Linked DNA regions of Macaca mulatta. The protein of the gene in region 1 purifies or fractionates together with the protein of each later gene. This does not show direct contact. Links are inferred from orthologs where the notes say so. Each region holds a gene or a part of one and is shown in the gene's direction. Other genes may lie near its edges.

The links.
Region 2: the proteins of CSTF2 (region 1) and CSTF3 fractionate together in Homo sapiens (co-fractionation; 4 studies listed by BioGRID and IntAct, with this or other methods). This does not show direct contact. The link is inferred for Macaca mulatta from reciprocal best matches to the Homo sapiens genes CSTF2 and CSTF3.

The regions. Positions count from the first base shown.
Region 1 is NC_133426.1:107,699,395-107,708,339, forward strand, and holds the start of CSTF2 (cleavage stimulation factor subunit 2), read left to right. Parts: upstream 1-4,515; 5' UTR 4,516-4,544; coding exon 4,545-4,602; exon of another isoform or gene 4,603-4,757; coding exon of another isoform or gene 4,758-4,776; intron 4,777-5,668; coding exon 5,669-5,747; intron 5,748-6,390; coding exon 6,391-6,560; intron 6,561-6,759; exon of another isoform or gene 6,760-6,892; intron 6,893-7,424; coding exon 7,425-7,561; intron 7,562-8,018; coding exon 8,019-8,138; intron 8,139-8,252; coding exon 8,253-8,390; intron 8,391-8,945. Other genes in the region: embryonic stem cell-related gene protein-like, read right to left, coding at 205-334. UniProt on the Homo sapiens protein: One of the multiple factors required for polyadenylation and 3'-end cleavage of mammalian pre-mRNAs. This subunit is directly involved in the binding to pre-mRNAs.
Region 2 is NC_133419.1:32,174,561-32,182,982, forward strand, and holds part of CSTF3 (cleavage stimulation factor subunit 3), read left to right. Parts: intron 1-2,136; coding exon 2,137-2,214; intron 2,215-2,975; coding exon 2,976-3,138; intron 3,139-5,570; coding exon 5,571-5,680; intron 5,681-6,134; coding exon 6,135-6,251; intron 6,252-6,520; coding exon 6,521-6,595; intron 6,596-8,313; coding exon 8,314-8,422. UniProt on the Homo sapiens protein: One of the multiple factors required for polyadenylation and 3'-end cleavage of mammalian pre-mRNAs.

The DNA.
Region 1 (8,945 bases):
CACTCCATTTTCCCCAATCTGATACCATTATCCACACGCTTTACCCAGCCACACTTGCCCAACAGCACACTGTTTGAGTTTGAGTGCTAGCTGGTGAATACTCACCTTCATTTTGCTAAACCCTGGATGCCATATGCTAGCCAACAATATCCTACTGTTCTGGTTCTTAAACAAAACAAAAACTCAAAGACTTCCTCCTCTTACCTAGTTTTTCCCAATGATTGGCTTTGAAGCAGTCCTTATTCAGTAATAAGAGCTCATCATGCCATGGCCAAGAATAGAGCATATCTTCCTCCAATTCAGTTGAACTCCCTGGCCTTCTACCAAACAACATATCTCATAACACATCCTTTGAGCAGGTGAACAACTCTGAACCTTCTTTGAAGGAACAGGATTCTGGGGAAGGAATAAAAGAAATGTACGCAGTGTGTATTGAGAATACAATCTATTAGCTAAGAAATAAAAAATGAAAATGCTAAAACATGACCAGTTTTGACGGACTAGACAACTCTCTGTAGAGCAGCCACAGGGCTGAACCCTCAAATATTCCCAGAAAGTATAGACATTGCTGTAGAACCAGCCTGATAATGCAGCAGTACAGAACTTAATGATATTTCTTTCTGGAAAGCAGACCAATTGATATCTTCATCCTGATATTGATCAGGATCCATGTCAGCATTCAGGTGCTCTCTGGCTACAAGTTTCCTTAGCTCTTGCAGGTGCTGCTCACTGAAGATTTCTCTTATCACAGGTAATGCTACCAGTCTCATCTGGCACCTTTTTCATGCAATGACAACTATCCAGGAGTTGCTGCCTTTCCAGATATCACCTGTGAGACCAATGAAGGATTTTATTCCATGACTCTTTGAAGAGGTTTAAACATGGATCAAACACAAAGTAGTATCTACCCCAGCCTTAGAAATTTAACCTTTTATGACTGGGAGAAAGAACTCAAGTCTCTGTGCCTTCACAGTCTTGAATATCTTTGCTTGTTTCACTTACATTTACCTCACTCAAGATTCTTAGTGTCATCGACATGACTGGTTAAGAAGTCAGGACTTTTCAACAAAGTTTTCTGCCAGTGCCCCACAAATCATGACTGTGATCTCCCAGATTCTTTGATTCTCCACTAGGTTCCCTTTCTCTTCCATTCAAAGCCCCAAATAACATTTATCCTATATATTTTGTCCCGTTTTTTGTAAATATGCTTCTTTGCTTGTGTTCTCCCTACATTTTCATACCATACCTATATCGTTAATTGAGGCTCAGTCATAACATCAACAACAGCATGAAACATCCCACCTTCTGTCTTCATTTTGCTATGAACTGGAGGCAAAGGAAATGCTGTCACTCAGGGAGGATATCAATGAAGGGAAAGACTCTCACAGACTGAGGCAGGAGTCACTAGCACAGAGTGTATAAGTAAAATCTAAAGATAAAAAAGAAAGCACTTGGGATACATCCCTTGCACACATCTCCTCTTTTATAACCAGCAGAGTGAAGTTGGTTGCTGAAGTCATAGAACCAATAGTCTGTTTTTCACAGATGGCTGATGATAGCAGAACAAGCCCTGGCTAAGTCCCCCACCCTTTTCTTGAGTAGTTCATTGTTATGAGCCACGGACCCACAATCACCAGGTCACATGTTCTATACTCTTTCCCAGAAACAGTGACGAAATATGCTGAGCCATCCACATTTCCTCAGTTATATTGAGAGGCAGGCGATGTAACAATTAAGCAGTCTCTGAAGCCAGAGCAACCTGAGCTCAAACCATGCCTTAGCTTGCTTGTTGTGGGACCTAGGGAAAGTTACTGAAACTTCTTTAGAGATGTTTATCAATAAAATGGGTATAGTTGACTGGCTTCAAGATTTCTTGACCACTTGATGTATTTGCCCTGCATAATTCCTAAGACTGTGATTATAATGGATTTTACTCTCATGATTAGGTTTTTACATAGCACAGCTGACTTTAATACAGGGAGATTATTTGGCTAGACCTTGCCTAAACACAAGAGCCATTTAAAAGCAGAGTTCTCCCCAGCTGGTCAAAAGAATCTCTGGTCAGAGATTCACAGCATAAGGTTTCAATGTAGAAACCCACATGTAAGGACCAAAAAGAAGCCCCTAGGAGCTAAGAGCTACAGCCCTCCAGTCAACAGCCAGCAAAGAAAAAAGGACCTCGGTCCTACAACCACAACCAACCAAATTCTGCCAACAAGAAAAATGAGCTTGGAAGCTGATTCTTCCCCCAAAGATTCCGGATAAGAGTCCAACACCTTGATTTCAGCCTTGTGAGATCCTAATCAAAGAACCCACTCGTGTCCACCCAAACTTCTGACCTACAGAACTGTGAGCTAATAAATGAGTGTTGCTGTAAGCCACTAAGTTTGTGGAAATTTGTTACACAGCAATGGAAAACCAATACAATGAGGACAGAGCAAGTGCTTAATAAATGTTAGCTTTTACTACTACTAACTCATTGGGATCAGCTACCCAGTTACAGGAAGACTGAAGCACAAATTATTTATGCAAGGCTGGCAGTGCCTTCAGCTGAAGGCAGTGCCTTCAGATCCAGGGTCCATTTGGTCTAATATGGCTGATATTAAGTGTTTCTCAAGGGGAGAGACATTATTGGCATTCAATGAGGGAAAGGGTTCATCGTGTAGAACTGCCTGGGACATGGCAGTCCATTTATCATCTCTGGCTTCTCTTCCCCTAGTAGTAGTCATTGCAACAACTGAAAATGCCCCTGTACATTTCCAAACATGCTCCTCCACAAGGGTTGAGAACTTCGAGAACTACTTTAAGGTAAATTTCATAAGAAAGCATGCGTGTTTTAAATGCTGCCATAAAGCTACCTCAATAACTACAATACTACTCAAATTACCTGACCCTAAGAATCACCAGTGGCACTTGTTTAAATATAACGATTCCCAAGTTCTTTCCCTAGAGTCCCATTCCATAGGGCTGGGGTGGAGCCCCAGGAATCTATACTCTTACTTAAAGACCCCAGGTGAATCTTTTGTTTATGTAAGTTTGCCAAACACTGAGTTAGAAATATACTCAGCCGTACATGCATTTAGCAAAAGTTCACCACAACGGAACAATGACACACACCAAAACTCTTTGAAACTGTGCCTTTTACAGAGCTGTAAATCTCGTTTTGGACTATTCCATTACACAAGGTGTCCTCTTGGTCACGCAATGATTGCAAATGGGACTCCAGAGTCATGGAAAATGAGAATACTCTTCTCAAACGTTCCATCTTTACCAGAAATTCTTTAAGTGATATGTTCCATGGTGTAAACTAGCACTTATTAATTTTTTCTAAATATTTATCATATTTCATATACTTTTATTTTGGAGACGGAGTTTCACTCTTGTTGCCCAGGCTGGAGTGCAATGGCGGATCTCGGATCACCACAACCTCCACCCCCCGGGTTCAAGCGATTCTCTGGCCTCAGCCTCCTGAGCAGCTGGGATTACAGGCGTGTGCCACCACGCCCGGCTAATTTTGTATTTTTAGTAGAAAAGGGTTTCTCCATGTTGGTCAGGCTGGTCTCGAACCCCCGACCTCAGGTGATCTGCCCGCCTTGGCCTCCCAAAAGGCTGGGATTACAGGCGTGAGCCACCGCACCCGGTCCGTATACTTTTAATACATGTGGAATTAATAAAAACGTCCGTGCCTCCAATTCCGTGGCTATTTTACTGTCTTCCCTTTTCGGACAAGTCCCTCAAAGGTAGCGCTCTTGGCTCCTTCTTTTGCTTCTCCCCTAACCCTGTCCTCCTGAGGTGCCCTCTGGATTTCCTCCAACCCCGGCAGGGTCTGCCTTTTCGGGCTGATACAACGACCTGCCCTGCATGCCACATCACAGGAGCGTGGGCACCAAAGTGTGGAAAAACTAATGAATGACGTTTTCTGTTTCCTGCCTGCCAGAATCCCCAGCCGCACCGCCCCACCACGAACCACATGGAACCCACGGACTACACCAGGACAGAAAGAGGTCTGTTTTCCCTTTACCTCTCCCATTTCTTCAACTATGCTTCTCTCGGCTAGCATACCCTTTCCTCATCTCACTCCATACACGCACAGCTTTAGCAAATTAATATGCACGCTGCTGGGACGCGCCCAAGCATTTCCCTCCCTTGATAGGGCGGAACTAAAATGCAAGCGCCACAGTTGTCAGCAAAAGACTTCCCTGTTACCATGGTAAAGCCGCTGCGCCATCTTTATTGTGGTTAACGAGTACTTGCATCAACCTAAGAGAAAATAAGAAGGAAGTCTGCAGGCTGAAACCCTTCAAATTAGCCTGGACTCGCCTGCATCTGGCTCGGAACAGAGTTAATCTCAGGGGTGGGGGTTGAGTCCTCCGGTGGACGCAACTCGCGCCTGCGGCTAACAGAAGGTCGCCAGGGGAGGGGCTCTGCGTCCGTTCCACCCAGGCACTTCCGGCTCACGCGCCGTACGGAAGCGTGCTCAGCGCTGGGCTTGTGCTCCGTACGGAAGTGTGCTTTGGCGCACCGGAAGCCGACTCAATAGAGCTATGGCGGGTTTGACTGTGAGAGACCCAGCGGTGGATCGTTCTCTACGTTCTGTGTTCGGTGAGAGGAATTCGTTGGAGCCAAGCTTCGGGGAGGGACTCCCCTCTGCACCTCCTATCTCATGAATCGCTACCGGAGCCGCTGACGGTTCGGACATGCAGTTCTCCCTGCCTATCCTGTAGGGCGTCCAACCTGGTGGACTCGTGAGCAAAGAGATGTTCCCATTCTGCCGAGGTCTCGTAGGCTTTCCGCAATATCACTGGGGAAGTTAGACTAGCGTTCAGCTTCTGTGCGTGTCTCCTTTCATGAGCTTTAATTATTCTCTAGAGGAGAGGGCGCATGGCAACAGCTCCTCACTGTCCCGTACTACTTCTCATCCTCTGCCCCAGAATACAGACTATATGCTGAGGGTATAGATCCTAGTGTCCACTTCCTGTTCTCTCGTAAGGACTTTCATCCTTTGCTTTTTATCCGTAACATTTTAGTTCATCAATAGTAGTAGAGGCCACCTGGTGTCCTGAGATGTCTTGTAAATGAATGAATGAATGAACTGTTAAGACCTCCTCAGAGGAATTTTAAAAAGGATCGAAATGATTCTGAATTATCTTTTTGGCTGAAATAAGTTGTTTTTAAAAATACGTGTGATTATTTTAGAGTGCCATTTGAAAGGGACATGACAAAGTAGTTCAGAATAATTTTTAAACATCCTTCACTACATTCATGGTCATTCTCCCTTAAATGTTGTATGTGTGGAAATACATATGAACCTGTTTTAAAAATTATATTAAATAACATTGATATTTTTTGTAGTCACTGATGAGACTTGCAGATCTTTAGGTAAATACCAGTGCCGAAGTATTTATTTTCACCAAAGTTAAGGAAAATCTAACACTTGTCAGATCAGTCTGAGAATTAACATTTAAGAGTACCTACACATTTTGTATTTAGTTTCAGTGGTACATTTCCTTTGTTAAGAGGTCTAGAGAAATACAGTGGAATTGGGATTGGAGAACACTATTTTGAGCCTTATATTTGATGATATAAGTAGATACTCTGTCATTTACTTTCTCACTAAAGATCTATGTTATAAACTCGGAATTTTAATGTTACCTGTTTTCTTCCTTAGTGGGGAACATTCCTTATGAAGCTACTGAAGAACAGTTGAAGGACATCTTTTCTGAGGTTGGACCTGTTGTTAGTTTCAGGTGAGATCCCCTTTTACTTCATGGTGGGAGCTTCTTAAAAATTACCACAGATTTGGCTCTTAGTAATGGCAGGTTTTCTTTACTGGTGACTTTTCACATACACTTTATTCTTGTAACAGCTTTATTTAGATATAATTGATATACTATACAATTGACATTTATTCTTACCTAAAATATGTTTTTTTCATTAAAAATGTTTTTTAGGCAGGGCGTAGTGGCTCTTGCCTGTAATCCCAGCACTTTGGGAGGCCGAGGCAGGCGGATCACCTGGGGTCAGGAGTTCGAGACCAGCCTGACCAATATGGTGAAATCCCGTCTCTACTAAAAATACAAAAATTAGCTGCTGTGGTATCGCATGCCTGTGTCCTAGCTACTCAGGAGGCTGAGACAGGAGAATTGCTTCAACCCAAGAGGCGGAGACAGCAGTGAGCCAAGATCGTGCCACTGCACTCCAGCCTGGGCAACAGAGCGAGACTCTATCTCAGGGAAAAAAAAAAGAAAAAGTTTTAAAAAATATTTCTGTGAGGCTGTCAGAGCTGTAAAGTTATTTATGTTACAGTGGGCCCAATTAAAGCATGGCAATGTTAGCAGGAACCCTGTATGTGTGTAACATTTGTTCCTGACACTTGGTTCTGCTCTCCAGATTGGTATATGATAGAGAGACAGGAAAGCCAAAGGGTTATGGCTTCTGTGAATACCAAGACCAAGAGACAGCACTTAGTGCCATGCGGAACCTGAATGGGCGTGAATTCAGTGGGAGAGCACTTCGAGTGGACAATGCTGCCAGTGAAAAGAACAAAGAAGAGCTGAAGAGTGAGTACAAATCCAACTTGGATGCAGTGTGAGTTAGTAAAGATGTAACAATGAAGATTTTCCGTTTCTGCTATGTTTTAGAATATGCTGAAATGGTTAGCCACACAGCTTGTTTATTACTTGACTGATCTGATGTGCCTGAGTTAGGCAAGTATTATATATATCTTTTAAAAAATTTTTTATAAATTTTTTTTCAAGTAATTGTCTGAAATTTCTATACCCTTGCTCTGGATGGAGCAGGGCAAGGCCTCAAACCATTTCAAAACTGTTCTGGCAAGCACTGTAGGAATGCATAGGGTCACTGCAGACCTAAGCATGCTGGAGACTTGCTAGTAAGTGGATATCTTTAAGAAACTGTAAAGTTGACATTAGAAATGCTTCAGTTGCTCCAGCCTGGGCAACAGAGTGAGACTGTCTCCAAAAAAAAAAACGAAATTTTTCCATTGTTAAGGAGTTATTTCCAGTTAAAGATGAATTCAAATTCATCAAGCCATTAGTAGTACTAACTATGGCATTAGTCATTCCTGTCACTGTTTTCAGGAGTTTTTGAAATTAGCATGTTATTCTCTTTTAACATTTTGTTTCTGAAATGACTTGTCAAAAGAAGTCAGTGTTCCCAGTTCTCTAACTTAGGTTAACATTGTCCTTCCATGTGATCATGATCCCCAGCTTTCCTCTGAGAACAGAAAATACACTCTCACTTTCCTCCACAGAAACAAGAGGCTTTCAAATCATTTATTTCTCAGCTCTGGAGAATCTAAAATTATCAGCTGGTTCTTACAGCAGCCCTGAAAAATAGATACTTGAAATGATTTAGCTTTTTGTTTTGCCTCCCTAACTTTCTTGTACTTTCTTCTTGATTAGGCCTTGGCACTGGTGCCCCTGTCATTGAGTCACCTTATGGAGAGACCATCAGTCCTGAGGATGCCCCTGAGTCCATTAGCAAAGCAGTTGCCAGCCTTCCACCAGAGCAGATGTTTGAGCTGATGAAACAAATGAAGGTGGGAGGAGGCATTAGGTTATGAATAAAGCAAACCACATCAGGTTTTCAAGGAGTTAATTGAATCAGTTCCCTGAGCTCAAATAGAAATTGTCTGTAGACCACCATTTCTTGCACCTTCAATATTCTGTATGTACACAGTATATTTTACATTTTGTACAAAGAGCTTTCTATTTTTGTACACAAACACAGCTATCCAAACAATCCAGCTGGATTTTTGTGGCCCATAGATGTCAGATGTAGATATTAAAATTTGGCTTTTTTCCTAAATGATAGTATCACAGTATTTGAAATGCCTCTTTCTTCTCTTGCCTGCCATGACCAAGGTTTTTTTGTGCCATGCAAAAACTAATGATAAAGAGCCTCTTGAATATTACATTTCTCAGAGGGGAATGACTCTAAATCACTATCAGTTTCTAAGTCATAAGTATTAAACCTGAATCTGCTTATCTTCTCAGCTCTGTGTCCAGAATAGTCCCCAGGAGGCACGGAACATGTTGCTTCAGAACCCTCAACTGGCTTATGCTTTGCTGCAAGCACAGGTAGTGATGAGAATTGTGGATCCGGAAATTGCCCTGGTGAGTGCTTCTGGTTCTTTTATGGAAATGGTCGGGTAAACCTTGAGTGGGATAGGAACTACCTGATTGCTTTGTTAAACAGACAGCTTATAGGTTTGTCTTTTCACTTTTTAGAAAATTCTGCATCGCCAGACAAATATCCCAACGCTGATTGCAGGCAACCCTCAGCCAGTCCATGGTGCTGGGCCTGGGTCAGGATCCAATGTGTCAATGAACCAGCAGAATCCTCAGGCCCCTCAGGCCCAGTCTTTGGTAGGGCTTTATCCCTTAACATTTTTTTTTATCTGTCTTAGAATGTCATTTTCTTTTTAGGAGAATATATTGAAAGAAGAATGGTCAGGAACCAGAGATGATAATTTCAATTTCCAGGCATAAAAGCAATTTCCAGGTTGCAGAGCACATGACATCTGAATGAATATAGATTCGATTCCAAGTTTGTAAAACAAAGAGATCCTTCCTGTATGCCCTTTTCTTATAAGCTAACTTTGTGTGTATGTGCATGCCTGGCACTGTGGTTGGCACTTTGTTATTCCATATGCATTATCTCATTTAATCCTCAAAGCAATTGTATGAGGTTGGCACTCTTATTATCTCCATTCTTACCAATGAAAAAAGTAAAGCTTGCTTTCAAAGCATGACACAAAACCCTAAAGCCATAAAAAATTGATACATTTGAAAACTAAAAAATTTCTATATAAAGAAAAAAATAAGTATCAAAGACATGACAAATTGAGAAAAAGTATTTGCCACACATGTGATGGACAACAGACTAATAAAGAGCCCATAGTCATGCACAGAAATGTTTAT
Region 2 (8,422 bases), on another chromosome or scaffold:
ACACATTCATACACACACATACACATTGCCATTGACCTATAAAACAGTACCTTTTGGGAATTATGTTTCCAATAGTACCTTTTGGGAATTATTTTTTAGTTGCTGTGTACCTCTATCACCTGATTACAGTGATGTGATTATTGGTTTGAATTTGTGAAGTGTGTGGCTACAATCCAAGATCTTTGTGTTATTGGTATCTGCTTTTAATAACTGAGCTAATCAATCTGAATACATAAATACACATGCCAAATAAGCTCTAGAGAAGGAAGTTCCTTGGCTGGGCATGGTGGCTTACACTTGTAATCCCAGCACTTTGGGAGGCCGAGATAGAAGGATTGCCTGAGCCCAGTAGTTTGAGACCAGCCTGGGCAAGATGGTGAGACCCCCATCTCTAAAGAGAAAAAAAGAAAGTTCTTCGTATGTATATTGTGATTTCGAAGAACTATATAGGGTAGTGAAATTGTTCCCTCACAGGCATCAGCTGTGGTTTTCAAACTTTATGGTTTTTGGATTTTAAAAATTATTGAAGATCACAAAGAATTTTTTATTTTTATTTTTTTGAGACAGGGTCTTACTTTGTCACCCAGGCTGGAGTGCAGTGGCACAGTCCCAGCTCATTGCAGTCTCAACTTCCTGGGCTCAGGTGATTCTCCCACCTCAGCCTCCCAGGTAGCTAAGACTACAGGCATGCGCCACCACTCTCAAGCTAATTTTTTGTAGAGATGGGGTTTCTCCATGTTTCTCAGGCTGGCCTTGAACTCCTGAGCTCAAGCAATTCACCTGCCTTGGCCTCCCAAAATGTTGAGATTACAGGCACGAGCCACTATGCCTGACCAAAAACTGTATTTTCCAAAACAAAAAATGTAGTTAGAAGAGTGGCATTATTTTCTATTTTCACAAATCTCTTTCATGTCTAGTTTAATAGAAAACAGCTGGATTTTCACATCTGCTTCCATTCAGTGTGTTATATACTAAATGTCACGTAGCCTCTGTAAAACTCCTGTATTTTTATGAGAGACGCAAATAATGTCTTAGTATTATAATGACAACTATTTTGATCTCATGGACTCCCTGAAAGGGTCTTAGAATCCTTGGAGTACTCACTGAGTGGTAATGTTTATCTTTCCTTGCTACTTCTGTTTGTCTCTTTAAAAAGTGTTATACAACAGAACTAGTTAGAAAAGGGCTATTAGCCAGGTGTGATGGCTCATGCCTGTAATCCCAGCACTTTGGGAGGCTGAAGTGGGAGGACTGCCTAAGACCAGGAGTTTGAGGCCAGCCCAGGCAACATAGCAAGACTACGTCTCAACAACAAAAAAATTTTTTAATGAGCCAGACCTGGCAGGATACACCTGTAGTCCTATGTCAGGAGGCTGAGGCAGGAGGATTACTTGAGCCCAGGAGTTTAAGGTTCCAGTGAGTTAGGATGGCGCCACTGCACTCTAGCCTGGGTGACAGAGGAAGACTCTGTCTATAAAAAAGAAAAAGGGCTATCAAAGTCAAACCATGGCTATTCACCCAGATGAATCTGTACATCTTTTTTTTTTTTTTTTTTTTTTTTTGAGACGGAGTCTCGCTCTGTCGCCCAGGCTGTAGTGCAATAGCACGATCTTGGCTCACTGCAACCTCTGCCTCGCCAGTTCAAGGAATTCTCCTGCCTCAGGCTCCCAAGTGGTTGGGATTACAGGTGCACGCCACCACACCCAGCTAATTTTTTTGTATTTTTAGTAGAAACGGGGTTTCACCATGTTGGCCAGGCTGGTCATGAACTCCTGACCTCAAGTGATCCACCCAACTCAGCCTCCTATACAGGCATGAGCCATGTCATTTTTTTTTTAGTAGAATCTTATATGAAATAATTGACCCTTTTCAAATGATTCTATCTTTAAAAGTTCCTGATAAATGGAAACTTACTGCCAGCTCATAAGACGTAAGCACATCCTCCTTAATCTTTGAAATGTATAATGTGATTGAACCTTTTTTTTCCTGCTTTTCATGAGCTGTATGAACCTTTATTAAACAAGAAATCTTTTAAAATAAAGAATTTAAAGTTATTTAGTAAATGAATAAATTAACTGTATTATGCTAATTTTCAAGAAACTATACTTAATTTTAAAATATTTTTGTTTTTTCTAGGGTATCAATATTCATTTAGCTAAAAAAATGATTGAAGATCGGAGTAGAGATTATATGAATGCTAGACGTGTAGCAAAGGTATGGAATTCCATCCATCTATTTTAATGATTATTATGAACCTGTTGTTTACAGCAGAGCTTTCCCTGTCTGGTATTACTTTTGATATTTTCAATCATTAGCAATCTTAACAGCAATTAATTGCAAAGTCTGAGGAGATGACATATTTGAAATGAAATATCTCTTTGTACGAACAAAATATAATAAATTGGGTTTAGAAGAAATTATTTTATAAAATATGGAAACAGGACATAGAGATAAGACTCTACTTAGAATTGATGAAGTAATTCTTTTCCCTCTCTTATTTGGGTTTGTCTGAATATTGTATTATTCTGTGATCTAATAACATAGCTCTCAGTGACACATTTTGATTGTGTGCATACCTTTCCATTCATTGACACTCTTAGAAGTTAGGAAAAATAGCCTATTAATATAAACTACTGAAATTGTAGAAGACAGTTTCTCCAAAGATGGCAATAATAAATGCCACCAGATCTTCAATTCTATTGATCTGTCAACTCTTATATCCTGTAAAGTAACCTCCTAGATCACTTATAGAGAGGGCCCATGGGTGTTTTGTTCACCCACTCCTGGGAACCTGTTCTTGAGTGGATAATACTCTCATCTTTCTCTCTACTCTTAAGTAGTTTTCAGATTATATTAACAAAGTGGTATTTGGAAAAAGTAGGCATTTGAACAGTCTTCCAAACTGATCTACCCCATCCCCCATACATCTGAGTTGTTCCTGGCTCACCAAAGAATTCTAAATGCTTGTTGTCTAGGAATATGAGACAGTAATGAAAGGCTTGGACCGTAATGCTCCCTCGGTGCCTCCTCAGAATACTCCTCAAGAAGCTCAACAAGTAGATATGTGGAAGAAATATATACAGTGGGAAAAGAGCAACCCTCTTCGTACAGAGGATCAGACCCTTATAACAAAAAGAGGTAACAAGATTAACCCTCATGACTTCAGTTACATGTATGTTAGGCCACTTGGTATCCCCATAGGTTACCAAAACTTTTTTACCCATAATCTTTTTTTCTTTTGTTCTTCAGATTCAATAATTCCTATAGATCTATCTCCATATTCACTGAACCTTTGTTTTCATCATATGCAGTCTGCAATTAAGCACATCCAGTGAATTCTTTATTTCAGATACAATATTTTTCAGTTCTATACATTTCCATGTTAGAAATTTTTTATTTTTATAGTTCTTTTTTATGGTGTCCATTTCTTAGTTGAGATTCCTTGTTTGTTCATTACCATCTTTTTCTTTATATCTTTGAACATATTTATAACAGTAGTTATAAAGTCTTCATCTGCCAATTCCAACATCTGGGCCTTCAACCACCATGGAGTTTATTTTCTTTGATTGTTTTTTCTCTTTGACTGTGGTTTACATTTTCCTATTTCCTGTTTAAATTTTTTCTTTTAGATATTGTACGAAGGTACAAATGAAACATTGTAAAGACTCTAGATTCTGTCATCTTCCTCTGAAGAATGTTTTTTTATTTTAGCAGGAAGTTAAGTATTACTGTCAGATTACTTGGACTTTGTGGAGGCTTGGTTTTATACTATGAAGACAGATCTGTTTTAGTTTTACCCTTAATCTCAGATTAAATACTTTATTCTCGGGACATAGTCTTTACTCCTAAGACAATGAAAAGTCTAAGGTATTTGCCCCAACCATCTAATCGGATGGGACTCAAATTCTAAACTTCATCTCCCTTAGTTGCTGAGGTATCTATTCAACTCTTTCCGCCTTCCAGCTTTGTTTTCTGCTGGTCTGGTTGTATCCTTTCCTGTGTGTGTACATTTTAGGGATCAGGTGAGGATTTGAGAACATTTATGCCCAGATTTTCAGGCTCTGGCTTTCTCCTTTTGGGGATGTCTCCCCTCAATTTCCAGCTGCTCTCATAGGCCAGAACTCCATGTTACTTCAGGACAGTATGACTGCAGCATTTGACTTGAGTTCTAGCTATCCCAGAAGTGCACAACATGGGCATGCGCTTGAAGGGAAAAGCCATATTAAATGTGGATTTCACCTAGTGGTGTTCTACCTTTCTAAGGGCTCAATATCCTGATTTCTGCTTCTTTTGGTCATTTCCAGTACCTTTAGATAGTTGCTTTTGTATTTGTGTTTGTTTATAATTTTTACTTGCTGAGGGTTGGTCTGATACAAACTACTATGCCAGTGCCAGACTCTTAATTTGGAGCTTTATGAATTCCTCAATCTTGGCTTGCTGTCTTACTTGTAGGTCTTTGCAAATATTGTTTCCTTTGCCTACGCCATTTTTGTATCTACCCCATCCTTACGCCACTTCATTTATTTGCCTCTGACCAGCTTCATCCCTTCTTCAGGTGTTGTGTTACATGTCAGTTCCTTAGTGAAGCCTTTCTTGAGTCCCTAAACTATGTTAAGTTCTCTTGCTGTAAGTTTTCAGAGTATACTATACTTTCATCATTATAATACTTTTGATCTTTGCTTTCTGTCTATCCTCCCCATTTACTGCAGACTTCTTGAATACAGGAAGTCTTATTCATTTGTATATTCACAGTGCCTTCCACATTCCCTATCATATAGTTGGTGCTTGATAAGTATTAACTTAGGCTGGGTGCAGTGGCTTACATCTGTAATCCCAGTACTTTGGGAGGCTGGGGTGGGAGGATTGCTTGAGCCCAGGAGTTCAAGACAAGCCTGGGCAACATGGTGAAACCTCGTCTCTATACAAGATTTTTTTTTTTTTTTTTTTTTTTTTTTGAGATGGAGTCTCGCTCTGTCACCCAGGCTGCAGTGCAGTGGCGCGATCTCCGCTCACTGCAAGCTCGCCTCCCGGGTTCACGCCATTCTCCTGCCTCAGCCTCCCGAGTAGCTGGGACTACAGGCGTCCACCACCACACCCGGCTAATTTTTTGCTTTTCAGTAGAGACAGGGTTTCACCATGTTAGCCAGGATGTCTCGATCTCCTGACCTCGTGATCTGCCCGTCTTGGCCTCCCAAAGTGCTGGGATTACAGGTGTGAGCCACCGCACCCGGCCACAGATTTTAAAAAATAAGCCAGATGTGGTGGCACACACCTGGTCCCAGCTACTTGGGAGGCTGAGGCAGGAAAATCACTTGAGCCCAGGAGGTCGAGGCTGCAGTGAACCATATTTGTGCCACTGCACTCCAGCCTATGTGACAGAGACCCTGCTTCCAAAAATAAAAAAAAATAATAAGTGATGGATAGATGGAGGGAGCTTAGATGGATGATGGTTTTTATTTCTAATTATCATTGATTTTTGAGGATCCTAATTTGGTTATGATACTTATATTGATAGTTTTACAAATAATTATTATTTTAATTGAATGTTGTTTGTTAATTTCTTCCCTTAGTTATGTTTGCTTATGAACAGTGCCTGCTTGTGCTGGGCCATCACCCTGATATTTGGTATGAAGCTGCCCAGTATCTTGAGCAGTCAAGTAAACTGCTTGCAGAAAAGGGAGTAAGTGTTCCTTCCCTATCCCCACTTTGATATTTTTGTGGTTTTGATATAGCAATGATTTACTGAAAAATATAACTGAATTTTGGTAGTAAAGCATAAGTATTGAAAATTTAAGCTTACGTTCATATGAATCTTAGTGACACTCATATAATTAGATCGCCTTAGAATTAAAATAAACTGGCAGTTTTTTAACATATTAAAGTGATGAATCATTTAGAGTACTTGCATGGTTATTTTGTAAGTTAAACTACTGAAGGGAGTTTTTGGAATTTTTTTAGAATCCAGAAATGCATATGTGTTTATGTGTGTGTGTGTGTGAATACACATATGTGTGTGTACATATATATATGCTTTCTTAGACACATAAATAAATAAAATAGATGTAACTATTAATTTTATTCTCTCACAACTATATTAGAATTATTGAAGATGAGCTTTCTTTTTTTTCTCCTAGGATATGAATAATGCCAAATTATTTAGTGATGAAGCTGCTAATATATATGAAAGAGCCATAAGCACTTTATTGAAGAAGAATATGCTTCTTTATTTTGCATATGCAGATTATGAAGAGGTAAGTAAAAATGTTTAGAGCCTTCTTATAATTCAATTTTTTACTGCAGGACTGAACTTTTTTTCTGGCTGGTTGTTTGCCAGGCATTTTGCTTTTGGTAGACAGAGATGATGCCAAATGAACAGTTATTAGTTGTCAGCTTATACTATATTTATGCTCAATGGAGATGCCATTGGGGGTGGGAGGTTATAGCTTTTGGACTCCTTAGAGCTCAAATCCTGCTTATTTATGACCATATGTTGATACTCACTTCTTCTCTACCACCTTAGAGTCGCATGAAGTATGAAAAGGTTCACAGTATATATAACAGACTTCTGGCAATTGAGGATATTGACCCCACCTTGGTGAGTAACTTTACAGATCTCTTTTTTCCCACCTTTACAGTCTTATCTAACAAAAAATAATTTAAATTTATATACAGTAAAATTCACTGTTTTTGTTGTATAGTTCTATGAATCTTGACAAATAACATTGAGTCATGGGATCACCACCACAATTAAGATAGAAAACACCTCCACCATCCTCCAAAAATTCCCCCTTGTGACCCTTTTGTAGATATAACCCTTCCCTCTGCCCTTACCTCTGACAATTACTGATCTGTTTTCTGCTAGAATTTCTCTTTTTAATGCAGCAGTATAAAATAGATACAGAGGCACTTTCTCTAACACTTTCTTTGTGATCATGGTTTGAAGCCACTTTATGCCACAGAATTGTTGCTTAATAAATATTTCTTTTTAAATGAGGCAGGAGAAACCAACATCCTGGGAAGAAATTAGATTGAAACTCACTTTATTCTAAATCCTGCTCTATCATAGTGGTTTTCAAAGCCCCAAGTGCAAAAGTGCAGTTGTGCTCTCCCATTGGGAGAGGAAGGGGACAGGCTTGTGGGTGTGTCTTCAGACCGTCTGCCTCAAGTCAATTATAGCTACACTACTTTTTCTTGTTAATGATTTATATTGAGATTCCACTGCTATAATTCCTACATTTATTCATCATCTTATAATTCATTCCACAAAGATATCTAGCAAATATATTGCTGAAGTCTATGCATTGTGCTAGACTCCAGCAACATAATGACAAACTAGATAAAATTCCTTTTCTTGAGGAACTCATAGTTCATCCATCCATCCATTCATCCATCCATCAAAACTGGATAACATAGCTAGACATTATCAAAACTGAGCAAACTAGGACCCTACTAATTAGTCATTTGTTCACTAAACAAAACTGCATATTCATGATGTGCTGGACATTCTGTAGGTGCTGGGTATAAAATGGCTCATCGTTTATCCATGAAGTTCTATTATATGTTGTTTGGAAAATAGAGTAGTGGGCTTTTAAAAAGAAACCAAGAAAATATGAAGTTAACATGTATTGCAGGCTGGGTGTGGTAGCTCACACCTGTAATGCCAGCACTTTGGGAGGCTGAGGCAGGCGGATCATGAGGTCAGGAGATCGAGACCAGCCTGGCCAAAATGGTGAAACCCCGTCTCTACTAAAAATACAAAAATTAGCTGGGCCTGGTGGCGAGCGCCTGTAGTCCCAGCTACTTGGGAACCTGAGGCAGGAGAATGGCTTGAACCCGGGAGGCGTAGGTTGCAGTGAGCCAAGATCGTACCACTGCACTCCAGCCTGGGCAACAGAGCGAGACTCTTGTCTCAACAAAAAACATGTATTGTAAAACATGCTTGTATTAAACCAACTCTTGAGTTTTTTAGATATTGGCATTGATTAATGGAGTATGTTCTAGTAGTGTCACACTTTTCACTCTTAAACTTTACGTATTCTAGAATTAGATAATGGTGATGACTGCACAACCTTGTAAATATATTTAAAACCACTGAATTGTAAAGGGTGAATTTTGTGGTATGTGAATTATATCTCAATAAAAAACAAATTAATTTGCATGCATCTCTTAATACCAGAAAAAAATTAGCTTTTGGATTTAAATAGAATATTATCTAAATTCCTACTTTCTAATTTATTGGGTATTGAGGATTGCTTTCTTATACAGGAAACATACTGCCTAACTTATAGAACACAAATACTTTCTTTTGCATAGGTATATATCCAATATATGAAATTTGCACGGAGAGCAGAAGGCATCAAATCTGGAAGAATGATATTTAAAAAAGCAAGAGAAGATACCAGAACCCGCCACCATGTCTATG